Arabidopsis thaliana: one gene and its partner. The protein of the gene in region 1 interacts with the protein of each later gene in a biochemical or structural test. Each region holds a gene or a part of one and is shown on either strand. Other genes may lie near its edges. The genes, in order: BRM and SWI3C.

The links.
Region 2: the proteins of BRM (region 1) and SWI3C form a complex in vitro, tested with the Arabidopsis thaliana proteins (one study listed by BioGRID).

The regions. Positions count from the first base shown.
Region 1 is NC_003071.7:18,920,803-18,928,746, forward strand, and holds the start of BRM (transcription regulatory protein SNF2), read left to right. Parts: upstream 1-1,730; 5' UTR 1,731-2,398; intron 2,399-2,474; 5' UTR 2,475-2,501; coding exon 2,502-2,675; intron 2,676-2,972; coding exon 2,973-4,247; intron 4,248-4,370; coding exon 4,371-5,678; intron 5,679-5,848; coding exon 5,849-5,961; intron 5,962-6,179; coding exon 6,180-6,267; intron 6,268-6,362; coding exon 6,363-6,449; intron 6,450-6,560; coding exon 6,561-6,653; intron 6,654-6,963; coding exon 6,964-7,047; coding exon of another isoform or gene 7,048-7,062; intron 7,063-7,124; coding exon 7,125-7,328; intron 7,329-7,450; coding exon 7,451-7,693; intron 7,694-7,766; coding exon 7,767-7,944. Other genes in the region: AT2G45990 (ribosomal RNA small subunit methyltransferase G), read left to right, coding at 1-62, 141-241; AT2G46000 (LDL receptor wingless signaling/trafficking chaperone), read right to left, coding at 392-571, 659-787, 928-1,245. UniProt on the Arabidopsis thaliana protein: ATPase subunit of a multiprotein complex equivalent of the SWI/SNF complex that acts by remodeling the chromatin by catalyzing an ATP-dependent alteration in the structure of nucleosomal DNA.
Region 2 is NC_003070.9:7,618,150-7,627,832, reverse strand, and holds SWI3C (SWITCH/sucrose nonfermenting 3C), read left to right. Parts: upstream 1-3,666; 5' UTR 3,667-3,854; coding exon 3,855-3,870; intron 3,871-4,008; coding exon 4,009-4,539; intron 4,540-5,065; coding exon 5,066-5,604; intron 5,605-5,760; coding exon 5,761-6,118; intron 6,119-6,210; coding exon 6,211-6,284; intron 6,285-6,479; coding exon 6,480-6,565; intron 6,566-6,660; coding exon 6,661-6,728; intron 6,729-6,829; coding exon 6,830-7,005; intron 7,006-7,101; coding exon 7,102-7,677; 3' UTR 7,678-7,832; downstream 7,833-9,683. Other genes in the region: PBC1 (proteasome beta subunit C1), read right to left, coding at 322-406, 665-754, 916-1,023, 1,133-1,314, 1,434-1,439; OGG1 (8-oxoguanine-DNA glycosylase 1), read right to left, coding at 1,964-2,206, 2,323-2,533, 2,751-3,394; AT1G21695 (hydroxyproline-rich glycoprotein family protein), read right to left, coding at 8,048-8,701; EMB1968 (ATPase family associated with various cellular activities (AAA)), read right to left, coding at 9,412-9,510. UniProt on the Arabidopsis thaliana protein: Component of a multiprotein complex equivalent of the SWI/SNF complex, an ATP-dependent chromatin-remodeling complex, which is required for the positive and negative regulation of gene expression of a large number of genes.

The DNA of each region.
Region 1 (7,944 bases):
ACTCGCAACGCTGAAAAATGTCATAAAAGAGCCTGAATTAGACAAATGGAGTTTATACCTAGGTGGTCTCTTCCCTCTCCCATATCATCACTTCTGGTTCCCCTTATTGGTTATTCTGACAAAAACTTATCTCAAAACAGGAACCTGGGGATACAACACTGAGAAAGAGAGAGCTGAAGCAGCAGGCATTCCCAGGATTCAGGTTATTGAGCTCTCCACGTTTAGCAATAAGCTTAAATGAGTGCATATACTCATTGGAAAAGAAACAAAGCTTTCCTCTTTATTGTATTCTACGGCATTCAACGGAAACTAAAAACCAAACATGTTTAGGTAAGATTCAGTAAAAGAGTTGAACTTTCAGTACTACCCATTATAGAAGCTTTTCTGTGACCTATAATTCATCCTTAGTAAGATCATTCTTGTTACCATCACCATCTTCGTGATCTTTCCTTTGCTCAGCTTGAAATTTGTCAAAGACATCTTCAAATGGAGGATCTCCAGGTCTTCTAAACTCTTGCTTCCCTATCTTGACCTCGTAAGCTTCTTCTTGGCTCAGCACGAATTCCCTTAGCTAATTGAAAGATATGATTGTGATGTTAGATTTTGACTAATCCACTAAACAAAGTTTTCAGCATTGTGTGTTTTCTGTGGCTTTTACCTCAGTCACAAGCTTCCCATTTTGCATATTGAACATCACTGTGCTTCGATCTACAGCCATGAATCTTACTCCTATCCCTCCTGTTCTTAAAACTTTTGTCCATTTCATAGCAATATCAATCACCACATCCTGATTGAAACATATAAACAGATCACTATTCAATCCCCTGAAGCAACTGGACCCATATCGAATTCAGAGAATTTTGAACAGTAACTGAAACTATAACTTAAGGACCCCAAATTCACGATTCGATTTGGATTTTAGTTTACCTTGGTACGGGGGACGCCTAACCGGAGCTTGACGAAACCGACGACGGTTCCAAAAGTCCGTTTAGCCATTTCCTCTTGGATCTGATCGAATCCCATATTGGTGAAATCCGGAGGCGGATCAAATTCCGGGGTCGTTGCTTTCTTCCCCCACTCTTTCCATGACTCGTCTTCTTCATTGTCTTCAACGTCGTCTAGGTCATCGGAGATCTCGATCCGTCGCTTCGTTGCTTCGGCGATCCGGACAAATCCGTGAAAATTCATAAAAAGAAGGAGGCCAACAAGTAGAATCAGCGAAGAAGAACGAACGATCTTCTCCATCGTTTAACAAATTTATTCAGGAATCAGAAACAGAGGAAGAGAGACTGCATCGGCAACGGCATTTCTATATCAGTAAAGCTTCTACAAACTCGCACACAAGTCACAAAACCATAATAATGTGACTTTTTACTTGTTTCGGGAAAAAAAACTATTAACGACATAAACTGAACCTGCTGGTTCAAAACTGTTCGCCGTTTTTCTATCTTAAAATAGAACTGCGTGCCAACTATTGACGTAAAGATGGCAAGCATATCAAGGCTGAAAGATGAAAACGACACGAGGTTGCACCGTAAATAAAACAAGGGTAATTGTATGATTCTCTCTAATCTACTACTGCACTACAGAAGGTAAAACTAAAAGTCAAAATTTGTCTAATTTTAAATTCAAATTAATTAATCAAGTAAAACAAACATAAGTCTAATTTGATTTCCAAATTTGTTTTTTTTTTTCTTTTTTTGATTTCCAAATTTGTTTATAGTAGTATCATTTTAGTATTCTTATTACCCAATACGGAAACAAATATTTGAAATAAACATGGAAAAATTAAAAGTCATTCCATTTGGTTAACAAAAGGAACGTTTGGTAAATTCACACGTGTCTCATCGTCATTTGTGCAACTGACTTGTATAAGGAAGGGTACTTGTGGTAATAAAAGCGAAAACCGAGGGGTGGCCTCGTGAAACGCATTTTCCGTGTTCCAACTGTATCGAGGCGTGGGACCTACAATCAAAAATAAAATAAAATTAATGCCCCTTCCAAAAAAAAAAAGAAAGAGAAAAAAAAGAAAAAGGGAAGTAAGAAGCCAGCTAGGGTTTGACTGCGAGAAATTTCTGATCTGCGTGAATTTCTCAAAGAGAGGAATCGATCATCGATTCCGTGGATTTCGTTTCCCTCCCTTTTTATTTTTATTTTTCGAGAAGCCATCTCAAAGGATCTGAGTTTATACCGTTGCATCCCCCGCGACTTTCGTTTTCCGATTTCCCCCAAATTCGATGCAAATCTAAGAAGAGAGAGAAATAGAAAGGTGTGTGCGCTTCAACCGACTCAGTGTCTCTCTCTCTCTCTCTCTCTCTCTCTCTCTGTTGCTATTTGAGGTTTTTTCCTTTGCCTCGGGGGCTCTCGCTGTCCGAATTCTTTTGTAGGGATTTATTGGGTAGGGTTTTTCCACTTTTTTTTTGTCTTCTTCTACTAGCTTCGTTGTGCATTGGGTTTAATTGTTTCCAGTGTAGTGACTGTCAGATTCTTCGACCAATTGCATGCAATCTGGAGGCAGTGGCGGAGGGCCCGCTCGGAATCCGGCCATGGGTCCGGCTGGTCGGACTGCTTCCACGTCATCCGCTGCTTCTCCTTCTTCTTCCTCTTCATCTGTGCAGCAGCAGCAACAGCAACAGCAACAGCAGCAACAGCAACAGCAGCTGGCGTCTAGGCAGGTAAAGGATTCTCAAGTCTCTGTTTGGTTCGTTATGACTTAGGAGGGATAAAATGCTTGTTTGTAGTGGCTAATGTTTGTCTGTTAAACTTGCGGCTATTCAATTTTAGTGGGACTTGACTGTTTATCAATTCTGTGTAAAAGGAAAGTAACCAATATCTTTAAATTGAAGTTGTGTAATGGTAGCCACTTGGAGAACATGTTTTGTTCATTTCCACATATATATATAGTTGCTCTGAATTGTGGATTATTGTTCATTTGATTGTTACTAATTATTATCGTGCTTCTGATATGGCAGCAGCAGCAGCAGCACAGAAACTCAGATACAAACGAAAATATGTTTGCATATCAACCTGGTGGGGTTCAGGGAATGATGGGCGGTGGCAACTTTGCTTCGTCTCCGGGCTCTATGCAAATGCCTCAGCAGTCTAGAAATTTTTTTGAGTCTCCTCAGCAACAACAACAACAACAACAACAGGGTTCTTCTACCCAAGAGGGCCAGCAAAATTTTAATCCAATGCAGCAAGCGTATATTCAGTTTGCTATGCAGGCTCAGCATCAAAAAGCACAGCAGCAAGCTAGGATGGGAATGGTGGGTTCATCAAGTGTGGGAAAGGATCAAGATGCACGAATGGGAATGTTGAATATGCAAGACTTGAATCCGTCTAGTCAGCCCCAGGCCTCATCATCGAAGCCATCGGGCGATCAGTTTGCTCGCGGTGAAAGGCAGACTGAATCAAGTTCTCAGCAAAGGAACGAAACAAAATCTCATCCTCAGCAGCAGGTGGGTACCGGACAACTAATGCCTGGAAATATGATAAGGCCAATGCAAGCACCACAGGCTCAGCAGCTTGTCAATAACATGGGAAACAACCAACTCGCATTTGCACAACAGTGGCAGGCAATGCAGGCATGGGCGCGTGAGCGTAATATCGATCTCTCACATCCTGCCAACGCCAGCCAAATGGCACACATCCTTCAGGCAAGAATGGCTGCTCAACAGAAAGCTGGTGAAGGCAATGTGGCCTCACAGTCACCATCTATTCCAATCTCTAGCCAGCCGGCTTCATCTTCGGTTGTTCCAGGTGAGAATTCACCACATGCCAACTCTGCTAGTGATATCTCTGGGCAGTCAGGATCAGCGAAGGCCAGACATGCATTATCTACTGGCTCATTTGCCTCGACTTCCAGTCCCAGAATGGTCAATCCTGCTATGAATCCCTTCTCCGGCCAAGGGAGAGAGAATCCAATGTATCCTCGACATTTAGTTCAGCCTACAAATGGGATGCCCTCAGGAAATCCCCTGCAGACTTCTGCAAATGAGACTCCTGTTTTGGATCAGAATGCATCTACAAAAAAAAGTTTAGGTCCTGCTGAACATTTGCAAATGCAGCAGCCTAGGCAACTGAATACACCGACTCCAAATTTAGTAGCGCCATCTGATACTGGTCCACTCAGTAACTCGTCCCTTCAGAGTGGACAGGGGACCCAACAAGCACAGCAGCGATCAGGATTTACCAAACAGCAACTCCATGTTCTCAAAGCCCAGATACTGGCATTTAGGCGTTTGAAGGTTTTCAGCTCTGACTTTTTCCTTATGTCTTCATTTTTATTGTATGTTTTGCTGGAGATGTATGCCTATAAATAACGTGTCTGCAAGCCAGGTTGAATGTTTTTAATTGCTTTTTTTTGACAGAAAGGGGAAGGTTCTTTGCCTCCGGAGCTTCTTCAAGCTATTTCTCCACCACCGCTTGAACTACAGACGCAGAGGCAAATATCTCCTGCCATAGGGAAAGTTCAGGATAGATCTTCAGACAAAACTGGAGAAGACCAAGCAAGGTCGCTAGAGTGTGGCAAGGAGTCTCAGGCTGCTGCTTCTTCAAATGGACCAATTTTTTCTAAAGAGGAAGATAATGTTGGAGATACAGAAGTAGCTTTGACGACAGGCCACAGCCAATTATTTCAAAACCTGGGAAAAGAAGCTACTTCTACTGACGTGGCTACGAAAGAGGAGCAACAGACTGATGTATTCCCTGTTAAGTCAGACCAAGGAGCAGATTCTAGTACTCAAAAGAATCCTAGAAGTGATTCTACAGCTGATAAGGGAAAGGCTGTTGCATCTGATGGAAGCCAATCTAAGGTTCCTCCACAAGCAAACTCTCCCCAGCCGCCCAAGGATACAGCCTCTGCCAGGAAATATTATGGACCGTTGTTTGATTTTCCCTTTTTCACTCGAAAACTTGACTCTTATGGGTCTGCAACAGCCAATGCCAATAACAATCTCACATTAGCATATGATATTAAAGATCTGATTTGTGAAGAAGGTGCAGAGTTCCTTAGTAAGAAAAGAACAGACAGTTTGAAGAAGATAAATGGTCTGCTAGCAAAAAATTTAGAAAGGAAAAGGATTAGGCCTGATCTTGTTTTACGGCTTCAAATTGAAGAGAAAAAGCTTAGGCTATCTGATCTTCAGTCTCGTGTTAGAGAGGAAGTAGATCGACAACAACAGGAGATAATGTCCATGCCGGATAGGCCGTACCGCAAATTTGTGAGGTTATGCGAACGGCAACGCCTAGAAATGAATAGACAAGTACTGGCCAATCAGAAAGCTGTCAGAGAGAAGCAGCTGAAAACCATTTTTCAGTGGCGTAAGAAACTCCTTGAGGCTCATTGGGCTATACGTGATGCACGCACTGCTCGTAACAGGGGAGTGGCCAAATACCATGAAAAGATGTTGAGAGAGTTTTCAAAGAGAAAAGATGATGGCCGCAACAAAAGGATGGAGGCCTTGAAGAATAATGATGTAGAAAGATACAGGGAGATGTTGCTGGAACAGCAAACTAATATGCCTGGTGATGCTGCTGAAAGATATGCTGTTCTCTCTTCATTTTTGACCCAAACCGAAGATTATCTTCATAAACTTGGAGGTAAGATTACTGCCACAAAAAATCAACAGGAAGTGGAGGAGGCAGCAAATGCTGCAGCAGTAGCAGCGAGATTGCAGGTATACATACTGCTTTCTCTACTCCACAGCGAATATCCATTACACTCTGTAGATAATTCTTCAAACTTTAACTTAAATGTTGACTTTTGCGTGTTTCAGAAAATAGAACTTTTTCTTTTCAAAGGTATAGTGGATATATAGTACCTTACCTGTTTCCGTTTTTGACGCAGGGGTTGTCAGAAGAAGAGGTCAGGGCAGCAGCTACTTGTGCTCGAGAAGAAGTTGTGATCAGAAATAGATTTACGGAAATGAATGCGCCAAAAGAAAATTCATCTGTCAACAAGTAAGGGCATTAGTCACACAAAAAATGATTAAAATAGGGAATTAGCAAAGTACTAGTTGTAACTCATAATTACCAATGCAGCTGAATACTTAAAAAGTATGTGCTTATCTGTAAAATGCTGATAATCCTGCACATCCATATGTGAGAGAATTCTACAGATCACAAGATTAGGAATAGGCGCCGTGGGTGATGTCTAACTCTGTTATGTCCAACTCTAGGTACTATACTCTGGCTCATGCTGTAAATGAAGTGGTTGTAAGACAACCTTCAATGCTTCAGGCTGGAACTTTGCGTGATTACCAGCTGGTATCTCCTCCATCTATACTCTATGTTGTTGCTTTTTTCTCACTGTCATGCCACGTTTTGATGGTTTCTAAGGTTTTTTGCTCTGTGCCAATCAGGTTGGATTACAATGGATGCTATCGTTGTATAATAACAAATTAAACGGGATCTTGGCTGATGAGATGGGTCTTGGAAAAACTGTTCAGGTTAAATCTGTTCCCGATTTGCAGGGATTCCTGGATTTACTTTTCTTTCGCCTTTGGTGACCAATAAATTATTATATTGTCCTATCATAATATACTAATTGTTTTGTACAGGTAATGGCACTGATTGCTTACCTTATGGAGTTTAAAGGGAATTATGGACCGCATCTCATCATCGTTCCCAATGCTGTTCTGGTGAATTGGAAGGTTTGTGTTTCTGATAGACTCTCTTATGATTTTCCACAGAATCAATGCTTAGAACCAAGGGAGTATTTGAGACCCCAAGTCTCCCAACTCATAATTATCTCACTCAGTTCCGCGAGAACCCACAAGCCTCTTATATCCATTATCTAAGCTTAACTTTGACTCTAGCTAACTAGCTGTTAGTTGCGCTGACATGGCCATATCCTGTTGATGAACTCTTCTGTGTTCTTTAGAATACGTATAAGTTTTTTTGCTATCTTTCGTTGACTTCTCTCTGGTACCTGATTAAAGTCCAATGGGTTTTCTTCTGCAGAGTGAACTCCATACTTGGCTGCCATCTGTTTCATGCATATATTATGTTGGTACAAAGGATCAACGTTCAAAATTGTTCTCTCAGGTAAAATTTGAAAAAGTTTCTTTTGCTCCAGATGTTTTGAAGACGTTAATTGATACATCCCCTGTTCTCTTTAACAGGAGGTTTGCGCCATGAAGTTCAATGTCCTCGTTACGACTTATGAGTTCATTATGTATGATCGATCAAAACTCTCAAAAGTTGACTGGAAATATATTATAATTGATGAAGCACAACGGATGAAGGACAGAGAATCTGTTTTGGCCCGAGATCTTGACCGGTATCGCTGCCAGAGGAGATTACTTCTCACTGGAACACCTTTGCAGGTTGGTAATAGCTGTATAGCTACTTGGGCATAAATCAGGACATATAACAAATGGAAACCAAGATTGTATAAGCTGTTTACATTATTTGACTATTCTTATCCTGCTTTTATTAAATCTTGCAGAACGATCTGAAAGAGCTTTGGTCACTATTGAACCTTCTCCTTCCTGATGTCTTTGACAATCGAAAAGCATTTCATGATTGGTTTGCGCAACCCTTTCAAAAAGAAGGTCCTGCGCATAATATAGAAGATGACTGGCTGGAGACTGAAAAAAAGGTCATAGTCATTCACAGACTTCATCAAATTTTAGAGCCATTCATGCTCAGACGCCGTGTTGAGGATGTGGAAGGGTCACTTCCTGCTAAGGTAGGATCTATCTTATATTTTTGCTGTTATTTTCCGTCTAGATATTTCCTCTGATTATGCTTTTGGGTTGCAGGTTTCTGTAGTCTTACGATGTAGAATGTCTGCTATTCAGAGTGCCGTTTATGATTGGATTAAAGCGACTGGAACTCTTAGAGTTGATCCAGACGATGAAAAACTTAGGGCTCAAAAGAATCCGATATACCAAGCCAAGATATATAGAACTTTAAATAATAGGTGCATGGAGTTGAGGA
Region 2 (9,683 bases), on another chromosome or scaffold:
AATCCTCATGTGTTAAGCCAGAGTCTCGATACATAAGTCTAGAGTAGTACAATGGAGTATGGCTAACAAGCTCAGACTATTAAACACCTCATGCCAGAGAGGGATAATTGAAGATATCAAAGAGAAAACTAATGGCTATCGTGATTCCTACGGGCATTATGCACCTTAATGTTCACACCAATTCAAGATTCAACTTTTCTACATAGTAACACTAAACCTTGAACCTACCAAACTGCAACGCCTAGATGTGGTAATTTAAGCATTTTCATTGTCGGGATTTAGAAATATAACAAGAGATGATGAGGTTGTTAGCGGGCAAACCATATCTGGCTTGTACATTGCCTCACAAGCTCCATAGAGTGATTCTGAAGCAGTTCCAGATACAACAAAATCTTTAGCTAACTCTCTGCATTTCGAAGAGAACAACTATTATTAGATGTTCCCTGTTATATCAACAAAATAAAATAAAATAAAATGCAACAGTACTTCTTAAGTACAACAAGTCCAAAACCAAAAGCAAAATAAATAACATACACAAGACATCTAGCTCAAGGACTATACAGACTATACAGACCACACTAACCAAGCTAATGACATTAACATGTAAGAGCGAAAATCGTCCATACAAATCAGAGATTATAACCAAGAATAGATGTGAACATACTTGGCTCCGATAGAGTCCATCGTGCAAATGAAAGGCTTGTCATCATCTCCCAAGCCAGCAATCACAGGTTGGCATAAGTAAGGACCAAATCTGAAATAAAGCAACCAATCTGATTATCTTTCTAAATCATGATTCAGAGACAAACTAAGCAAATCATTCCTAACCAGAATTAAAACTAGAGTCAGAAGCAGCATCGCAAATCAACAGGTAACTAATACAGCTACATAAGTAAACAACACAAGCACACTGACCTCTTCTCGTAAAGGATGGCTGAGACAAGACTAGCGAAAGTTTCAGGCTTCATGTCTCTCTCTTCCCTAAGCTGGTAAAGCTTATGACGAAACACCAAGCGCTGGTATCTTCAAACATCAAAAGACAAAACAAAGAGGAAAAAAAATCTTCTCAGTTCACTTCAAAATGTAAAAACAAACAAATATGAAAAATTTAGAAGCTTGCACGATAGTTTACAGTGTTTGAACATCGGTGGCGAGACCAGAAAGACCGATGAAGACACGATCGTGGATCTTGGAGATTCTCTGGAAATCAGTGGCGATTGTCTGTAGCTGAACACCGAGTCTCCGATCACTGGCGATGGCGAAACAATTCTTACCTACCATAGCAACAACAGCACTTCCATTGTACTCGAAGATCTGCATCGCCACAAATATCAATCAATTTTATCGTTCAGTCACTATTAAACCATTGATGCGTAAGACTAATAGAGCTGAGGTCTCCGAAATTAAAATTAACTGGGAATTATCAAACTTACCGACATCGGAAACTTAGGGTTTCAGAGTAGAATTTGGAGTTTTTTTCAGAACGGAGACGAAATCTGGGAAGGAGGAGGGGAGAGAGAGGGAGTACTAAGTAAAGTCGACGGTGGCTTGGAGGAAAATCCAGCCGGACTTTCTTTTTCGCCTCCAATAGTATTTTGGGCCTAATTTAGGCCTCGCTTTATTGGGCTTCTTATAGAAATTTAATTTCGACGAAATTTAGTTTTGTTTTTTGACAAAAGAAATAGATAAAAGGAAAAAATTCTCATTTCAAATCAAGAGAATTGCAAAGGGAACAAACAATTAGAATTTAATTTGGAAGTTTGAATGTAAAGTTACAAGTACATATCAAGATTGGTTCCTTAGTAAACAATGATCATAACAAATAACTACGCTCATTTGCCAGGGAGCCAAATACTGCATCAGCTTCAGAATTTTCTTAGCTCTTCCAAGGTCAAGTTTCTGGACTTGACGCATCAAGAATGGGTTGTGAAAACGATTCCTCGTAGCTTAGGTAGACACATAGTCATGGCTTCAACGTATCACAGCTAGTTTCATTAACTTCTGCAGACTCATCCAGTTTGTTAATGGGCTGGGAAAACGATTGCAAGAGAGTTTTTTGTGCAGGTAACTCGGCAATGAAAAGCAATGTTTGAGCCCAACCAGCATATTCACCATATTTACTCACAAAGGCTTCTGCAACTCGGCCATGGAGTTTAGGTGTCAGTTTTGCACCAGCAAGGTCTGGCAGTAGATAATTTGTTGCGATCTGATCCATTATCCAAAACAGAACAAAAAAAAAGTTGCCCGAAGTCATCATCACCATTATGTAATTGGATCTCAATTAAGTAAGTACAATACATAGAAACCGATGGACTTTGTTACCTGCCAGACATGTGTGTCAACCGGAATAGCACTATGCTGATCAAGAGAAAACAGAGCTATGCAAGCTGCTACCTTCGGACCAACACCAGGTAATGTACACAGCGCAGCAACTGCCTCTTGGAGTTCGACTTTGCGCAGAGAAAGAAGCCATTCATTACCACCACCTGGCTTTGCTTGCAAAGCATTCACTGTACCTGTTATGTATTTGGCTCTGCTCACCACAAGATAAACCAGAATGAGAGTTTTCAAATGAGATCAGAACCAATCAGAGAAACGGCCACACAATGATTATCTAGCTTAGACCAAACATTAGCTTCAATTCTATGAATGTATAGCCACAGAGTAAATAAAAGTATAAGCTTCAAGCAAAGTTTTAGCCTAAATGTCTAATTCAACATAATGCAACCATTAGAGAGTGATGAAATCACCTGTAACCAAAACCAGCCTTTCTAAACTCTTCCTCAGAAACCCTAGATAATCGATCCAATGATGGGAACTGATGAAACTCAAATCCATCAATGTCACCCAAATGTAACCCTAAAGACGAAACAAAATCCACCATCTTCGTAATCCTCGCAATGTTATTGTTCGATGAGCACAAAAACTGTATCAAGCACTCGAGCGGATCCTGCCTCAACACACGAGCGCCACGGAGATGTCTCGCTAGCTCTCCGAAACGAGGATCTTTTTTCGAGAAATCAGACCATAGCTCAGCTAACGAGATCTCAGCATTGAGAAAATCGAGCAACGCAAGCTCCGCGGATTTAGGGCTTGTGCTACAATGGACGCAGTAGGAAACTGCGTCGTCTCCTGGACGTTGTCTAAGAGAGACTAAGTGAGGCCCAATCGTTCCGCTATACTGAATCGCTCCAGTTTTCTTCCACCGGAATGTTTGACCCGTCGGAAAAGTTAACGGCAACGTCAGCTCCGTGTGGGTTAGTTTTAACGGGAACCATTTAGGTGTTCCTGTTCTGTGTAGCTTCTGTTTGAGAATCGGTGTGACCGGCGGAGACAGTGGTGGTTTGACGGTGGAAGAGATCGACGGCTGAGATGTAGGTCGAGGTCTCTTCATCGCCGTTGCTCGTTAACGGAACCACCACACCAGTATTAATGCGCGACGGTCGACTAATGTATCAATTTAAACCGGTTTAACCAATTTGAACTTTAAGAACCGAACTAAATAATTGATTCGGTTTTTCTCATTCAAAATTGAAAAATAAAACCGAAGTAAAGTTGACTTTAACCGAAGTTAAACCAAAATTTGGATTGGTCAACGAAGCTTGAATTTCGAAATCAGAACCCTCTTGTTTGTCGAGAAGGTTAGGTCGTCGTGGAGAATGAATTAATATATAGAGATTAATGAAGGAAATGGTGAAAGAAATTGCGAGAAAAAGGTTTGGTGTTTAGCTCGAGAGCTGGAAATCAGAACGACTCGGAGGAGAGAAGACAAAGAAAGCAATTCTTTTTACTAAGGGTCTTGCTTCGATTCCACAGAACCCAAAACCTCTATTTCTCTATCTTCATCCACAAAAATGCCAGCTTCTGAAGGTAAATTGCTGTTTCACATCTTTATCTCTCTCAAAATCCAAATTTAAATTGGGATTTGACTTACCCACATAGATCGTAGTGATGGGTATTTCGAGAATTCGTGTGAATTGAATTACACTTTTTACAATTCTGTCGCAGATAGAAGAGGGAAATGGAAAAGGAAGAAGAGAGGGGGGTTATCGGCGGCGAGGAAACCGAAACAAGAGGAGGAAGATATGGAGGAAGAAGACGAAGAGAATAACAACAACAACAACGAAGAAATGGATGACGTTGAAAATGCCGATGAGCTTCAGCAAAACGGCGGCGCAACTCCCGATCCGGGACTTGGTATTGGCGAGGTAGTTGAAGATTCTGGTTCGCGCATCTCTGATTTCCCGGCAGTGGTTAAGCGTGTTGTGATCCGGCCACACGCGTCTGTAATGGCTGTTGTGGCGGCTGAGAGAGCTGGTTTGATAGGGGAGACTAGAGGGCAAGGTTCACTTCCAGCTCTGGAGAACATTTCGTTTGGGCAATTGCAAGCGTTATCTACTGTACCTGCTGATTCTCTTGATCTTGAGAGGAGTGATGGATCGTCTTCGGCTTATGTTATCTCTCCACCACCTATTATGGATGGAGAAGGAGTTGTTAAACGGTTTGGGGATCTGGTTCATGTCTTGCCTATGCATTCAGGTGTGTTTTTTCTTCCTCTTGATACGCGCATTTATGTTAGAGGTTAGGCTTTATGCAGCATCAGCTTTTGCTGGTTGGTAGTATTGTAGTATATATCTTGTGATTGGAATGAGAATTAGTCAAAACAGGTTTGTATGCCGGTATCTCCTTAACGTATAAGTTCTTATCTTCCTTTTGTCTAGTGCCTGGTTCTTAGTTTACATTAATCTGAACGCGACTCAATTTCATATCAGATGTTTCTCTATGTTCCCATGTTCTGTCTGATGGAAAGGAAGAGGTATTATAACTTTTGTACATGATAAATTAGAGTACCTGCTGGCTTGAAGTAGCCTTAGGTGTCTTATCTCAGAAGTACAACTTGAATAGACTATGCAAGTGATGTTCTTCTAATTCGTTTGGGTTTTGTTCCTGGAGTCCTATGGCTCAAATATATCGAGATTCTCCTCTTATTTTATTTTTATTTTCTGATATTTTTGTTCCCAATGCTCGAATTTATTCTTCTACTTTTGCTGTTACATTTGAGCAGATTGGTTTGCACCAAACACAGTAGATCGACTTGAAAGGCAAGTGGTGCCACAGTTTTTCTCTGGGAAATCGCCAAATCATACACCCGAAAGTTATATGGAATTCAGGAACGCCATTGTTTCCAAATATGTAGAGAACCCTGAAAAGACACTGACGATTTCTGATTGCCAAGGATTGGTAGATGGTGTTGACATTGAAGATTTTGCACGAGTTTTCCGTTTTCTTGATCACTGGGGAATAATCAATTACTGTGCCACTGCCCAGTCACATCCTGGCCCTTTGAGAGATGTATCGGATGTGAGGGAGGACACAAATGGCGAGGTCAATGTGCCGTCTGCTGCTTTAACATCTATTGATAGTTTGATCAAATTTGACAAGCCCAACTGTAGACACAAGGGGGGTGAAGTCTATTCATCCTTGCCAAGTTTGGATGGTGACAGCCCTGACTTGGACATCAGAATTCGTGAACACCTATGTGATAGTCATTGCAACCATTGTTCTCGACCGCTTCCAACTGTGTACTTCCAATCGCAAAAGAAGGTTCTTAGGCTGCTTCCCCTTACGTACTGTTCTTTGTGTATCATTATCTGATTCTTTTTTGCACCCAGTGATGTAATAGACTCCAAGCTTTATCTTGCTTACTGTCTCGGATACTGGACCGCTTCTAACTAAAGGATCTTCATCTCTACTTTACAGGGGGATATACTCTTATGCTGTGATTGTTTTCACCATGGAAGATTTGTTGTTGGACATTCTTGTCTTGACTTTGTAAGAGTGGATCCAATGAAATTTTATGGCGATCAAGATGGAGACAATTGGACTGATCAGGAAACTCTCTTGCTTCTTGAAGCTGTGGAACTCTACAATGAAAATTGGGTTCAAATTGCTGATCATGTTGGTTCCAAGTCAAAAGCTCAATGCATTCTTCATTTTCTTCGATTACCTGTGGAGGATGGTCTATTAGATAATGTTGAGGTTTCTGGTGTAACTAATACGGAAAACCCTACAAATGGATATGACCACAAAGGAACAGATTCAAATGGGGATTTACCTGGTGATTTTGTTTTATTCAATTTGTAGCAATGAATTACTTTCCATAGTTATTTCCTTTGACATGCCATACTAATTGTCCGCTTGCGTCTGCAGGATATTCCGAGCAAGGTTCTGACACTGAGATCAAGCTTCCATTTGTGAAGTCTCCGAATCCGGTTATGGCATTGGTTTGTGAACTTTTTTCCGATGCAGATTTCATATGCGCTTCTTATTATCCTTATGATCTCACCAGTTAGAGATATCTCTGATCCATGAATCGATTATATCTGAGAGCTCAATTGTATGCATATTTTGAGTGGAGAATGGTCCTGTATTGCACATAAGTTTGGAGATATGAGGATCCTGATACCAAAATATTTTAGGTTGCATTTTTGGCATCAGCTGTTGGACCTCGAGTTGCTGCGTCCTGTGCCCATGAATCCCTCTCGGTTTTATCTGAGGACGATAGGTTAGTGTATTATATAGTCTCTATCCAATATAAATTCTCTGTAGTGTGATTCAGTTTAATAATACTATGGACTATTCTGAAACTTCTTGATCTAGGATGAAATCTGAGGGAATGCAAGGGAAAGAAGCCAGCTTGCTTGATGGAGAAAATCAACAGCAAGATGGTAAGGAAGTTATTTGATTGTTCTCTTTACAGTGATTCTTTGCTCTTTTGTTTTAACCTAATCTGCGACACCAACATGCTTTAATTGTAAAAAAAACTCAGGAGCACACAAAACATCAAGCCAAAACGGAGCAGAAGCGCAGACTCCACTGCCACAGGATAAGGTTATGGCAGCATTTAGAGCCGGTCTATCAGCTGCAGCAACAAAAGCAAAATTGTTTGCTGATCATGAGGAACGCGAAATCCAGAGACTTTCTGCTAATATCGTTAATCACCAGGTAAAATAGCAGAACCAGTTGCTGATGAGAATTACTGTAGGTAGTTGATTTATTTTGTTGTATAGTGTTTATTGCTGATCTGAGTAAAAACCGCAGCTGAAGAGGATGGAGCTGAAATTAAAGCAGTTCGCAGAAATTGAAACACTGTTGATGAAAGAATGCGAACAAGTAGAGAAAACCCGTCAGAGATTTTCTGCAGAACGGGCTCGTATGCTCTCAGCAAGATTTGGATCTCCTGGAGGAATCTCTCCACAGACTAATAATCTCCAAGGCATGTCTCTATCCACAGGTGGTAACAACATCAATTCTCTCATGCATCAGCAACATCAGCAACAACAAGCTTCCGCAACTTCTCAACCAAGCATAATCCCAGGATTCAGCAACAACCCGCAAGTTCAAGCACAGATGCATTTCATGGCACGACAACAACAACAACAACAACAACAACAACAACAACAACAGCAAGCTTTCTCGTTTGGCCCGAGATTACCTCTCAATGCAATACAGACCAATGCAGGATCAACAGCTTCACCAAACGTCATGTTTGGCAACAACCAACTAAATAACCCTGCAGCAGCTGGAGCAGCATCGATCAACCAGCCTTCGTTTAGTCACCCGATGGTTAGGTCTTCCACAGGTTCAGGCTCAGGGTCCGGCTTAGGCTTAAACTAAGATCCATCTTTCTCTAGCTTATTTAGCTTATCAGTATCCATATTTATTTCACCTTGTTATTTTTAAAGATAAGTTATTTGGCTTTGAGACCGTAGTCTTGTTCCAAGTTAGTGTCTTGTAGTATCAAACCATCATCATCATCATTGTGAATTAAAACAGTCACCAATCTTAATGTCTCTCTTTCCCACAACCATTTCTCTACTCTTCAAACATTAGGGGTCTTTTAACTCGATTCATTTTGACGATAATATATAGACAATTTCATTACAAATCTACATGTAACATATTCGTTCTTGTCGCAATGAAAAACTCAAAATCATTTTTATTTGATTAATCTCTAAGATGTTTTTTTTTTTTTAAGCCTAACCATTTAACCAAGGCGGGAACGAGCTATCATTAACATGGTTTTTTTCTCATAAGAGCTTAAATCCGAATCAGTCCGTTTTAGCGGCGAACCACGGCGAGAAGAGAAGGACGATTTCGGCGAACTCCACCTCGAAGATACCGGCGATCCCTGGCTAGAATCTTCTTCCGACGGAGAAAGCGTTGTTCCCGATTCATAGAAATTGTCAGACTCCGATGTTGTTGATGATGGTTCCTGCTGACCGGTCTTTTTTAAATCGCCGCTCTTACTCTTTTTCAACCCAAATAATGACTTGGGAAAAAAACACCGAGGCAATGAGCCACCGGCACGAGGAGAAGAAGATCGGAAATATGGAGTCGGAGATGCTGAACAGTTGGAGTCGGAATCTGAAGGCGATTTCAGCTTGAAAGACGGAGGAGGAGCGAAGGGAGAGACTGGTCGGCTTCTGGATTCAGAGAAGAAAGAAGAAGAAGACGACGGAGATGGCGAATTCGACGGCGGAGTTGATTTTAATTTGAGAGGAGGAAGTTTGTTAGGAGGAGGTGGTTGAAGAAGAGCTGGATCATCATCACCGGGTCGGGTTTTAGGTACACCGGGTCGGATCTCCCACTTAAAAGGCACAGCTCCGGGTCTCTTGAAAGAATCGTCACCATCGACCATTAGGTAAAAGTAAACAAAAGCGTTTCTGTCTTGATCAAATTAAGATTCATAAGGATTCTACTAATAAGAAACTACTTATAGATTTAGATTAGATCAATTATTTTTAGAACGTATCCAGATTTATGACAGTTTTATGTGAAGACTATAACATTCAACGAATTTTGTGTCTTGACAGCATTTTTATTTATTTATGGCATTACTAATGTTTTCTATAGTTTGGATGTGTATCCGAATCTTCCTTTTATGTGGATATGTATATTAATCCTCTTGTATTTTATTACATTTTCGTAGGATTTTACTATTTTGATTATTAGAGGTAATAAATAGAAAAATATAATTATATAAATCTACTATATTTTTTATTTTTATATTTACATTTTGGGATCTACACTGTATATATATCCAACTAGTAAAGAAACACATTACTCCTTTTACGGTGTCAATATTGGATATAGATAAAGGGATTCACTAATTCTTACAACAGAAGCAATGTCCATCAAGCTATCTGGTCATGATTTTGTTGGTTATAAGAGATGTTAATTATTTTGATTCGATCATGTATTTCACATTGTAATGATATTTAATGATCTTACCCACAAAACAAATAGACTTAAGTAATGATGCAATAAATATATCTAATAGTTTTTCTTAAAACAATAACAGATAAGTAACCAGTAAAACGTCATAACGCTCCAACTTTTTATCAAAACCTACACTATGATAGTCTCATAAGTCTTAAGGCACAGGTCCAATTCAAGCAGAATTTGCATTAGAAGTCTTGAGCCATTTCTGAGAGGGCACAAATTGTACTGCTTGCCACATCCAGAAGCTGCAAGTACTCATCCGCCCCGTCTACAAGTCGCTGGATACATTAAAAATAAAAGATGTGAGATATTTTATTATCACTAGAGGTAACAGAGACATCCTTAGCAAGATTGCAACATATCTACAGATTCAAATGGCAAAAATCTAAGATGTGAAC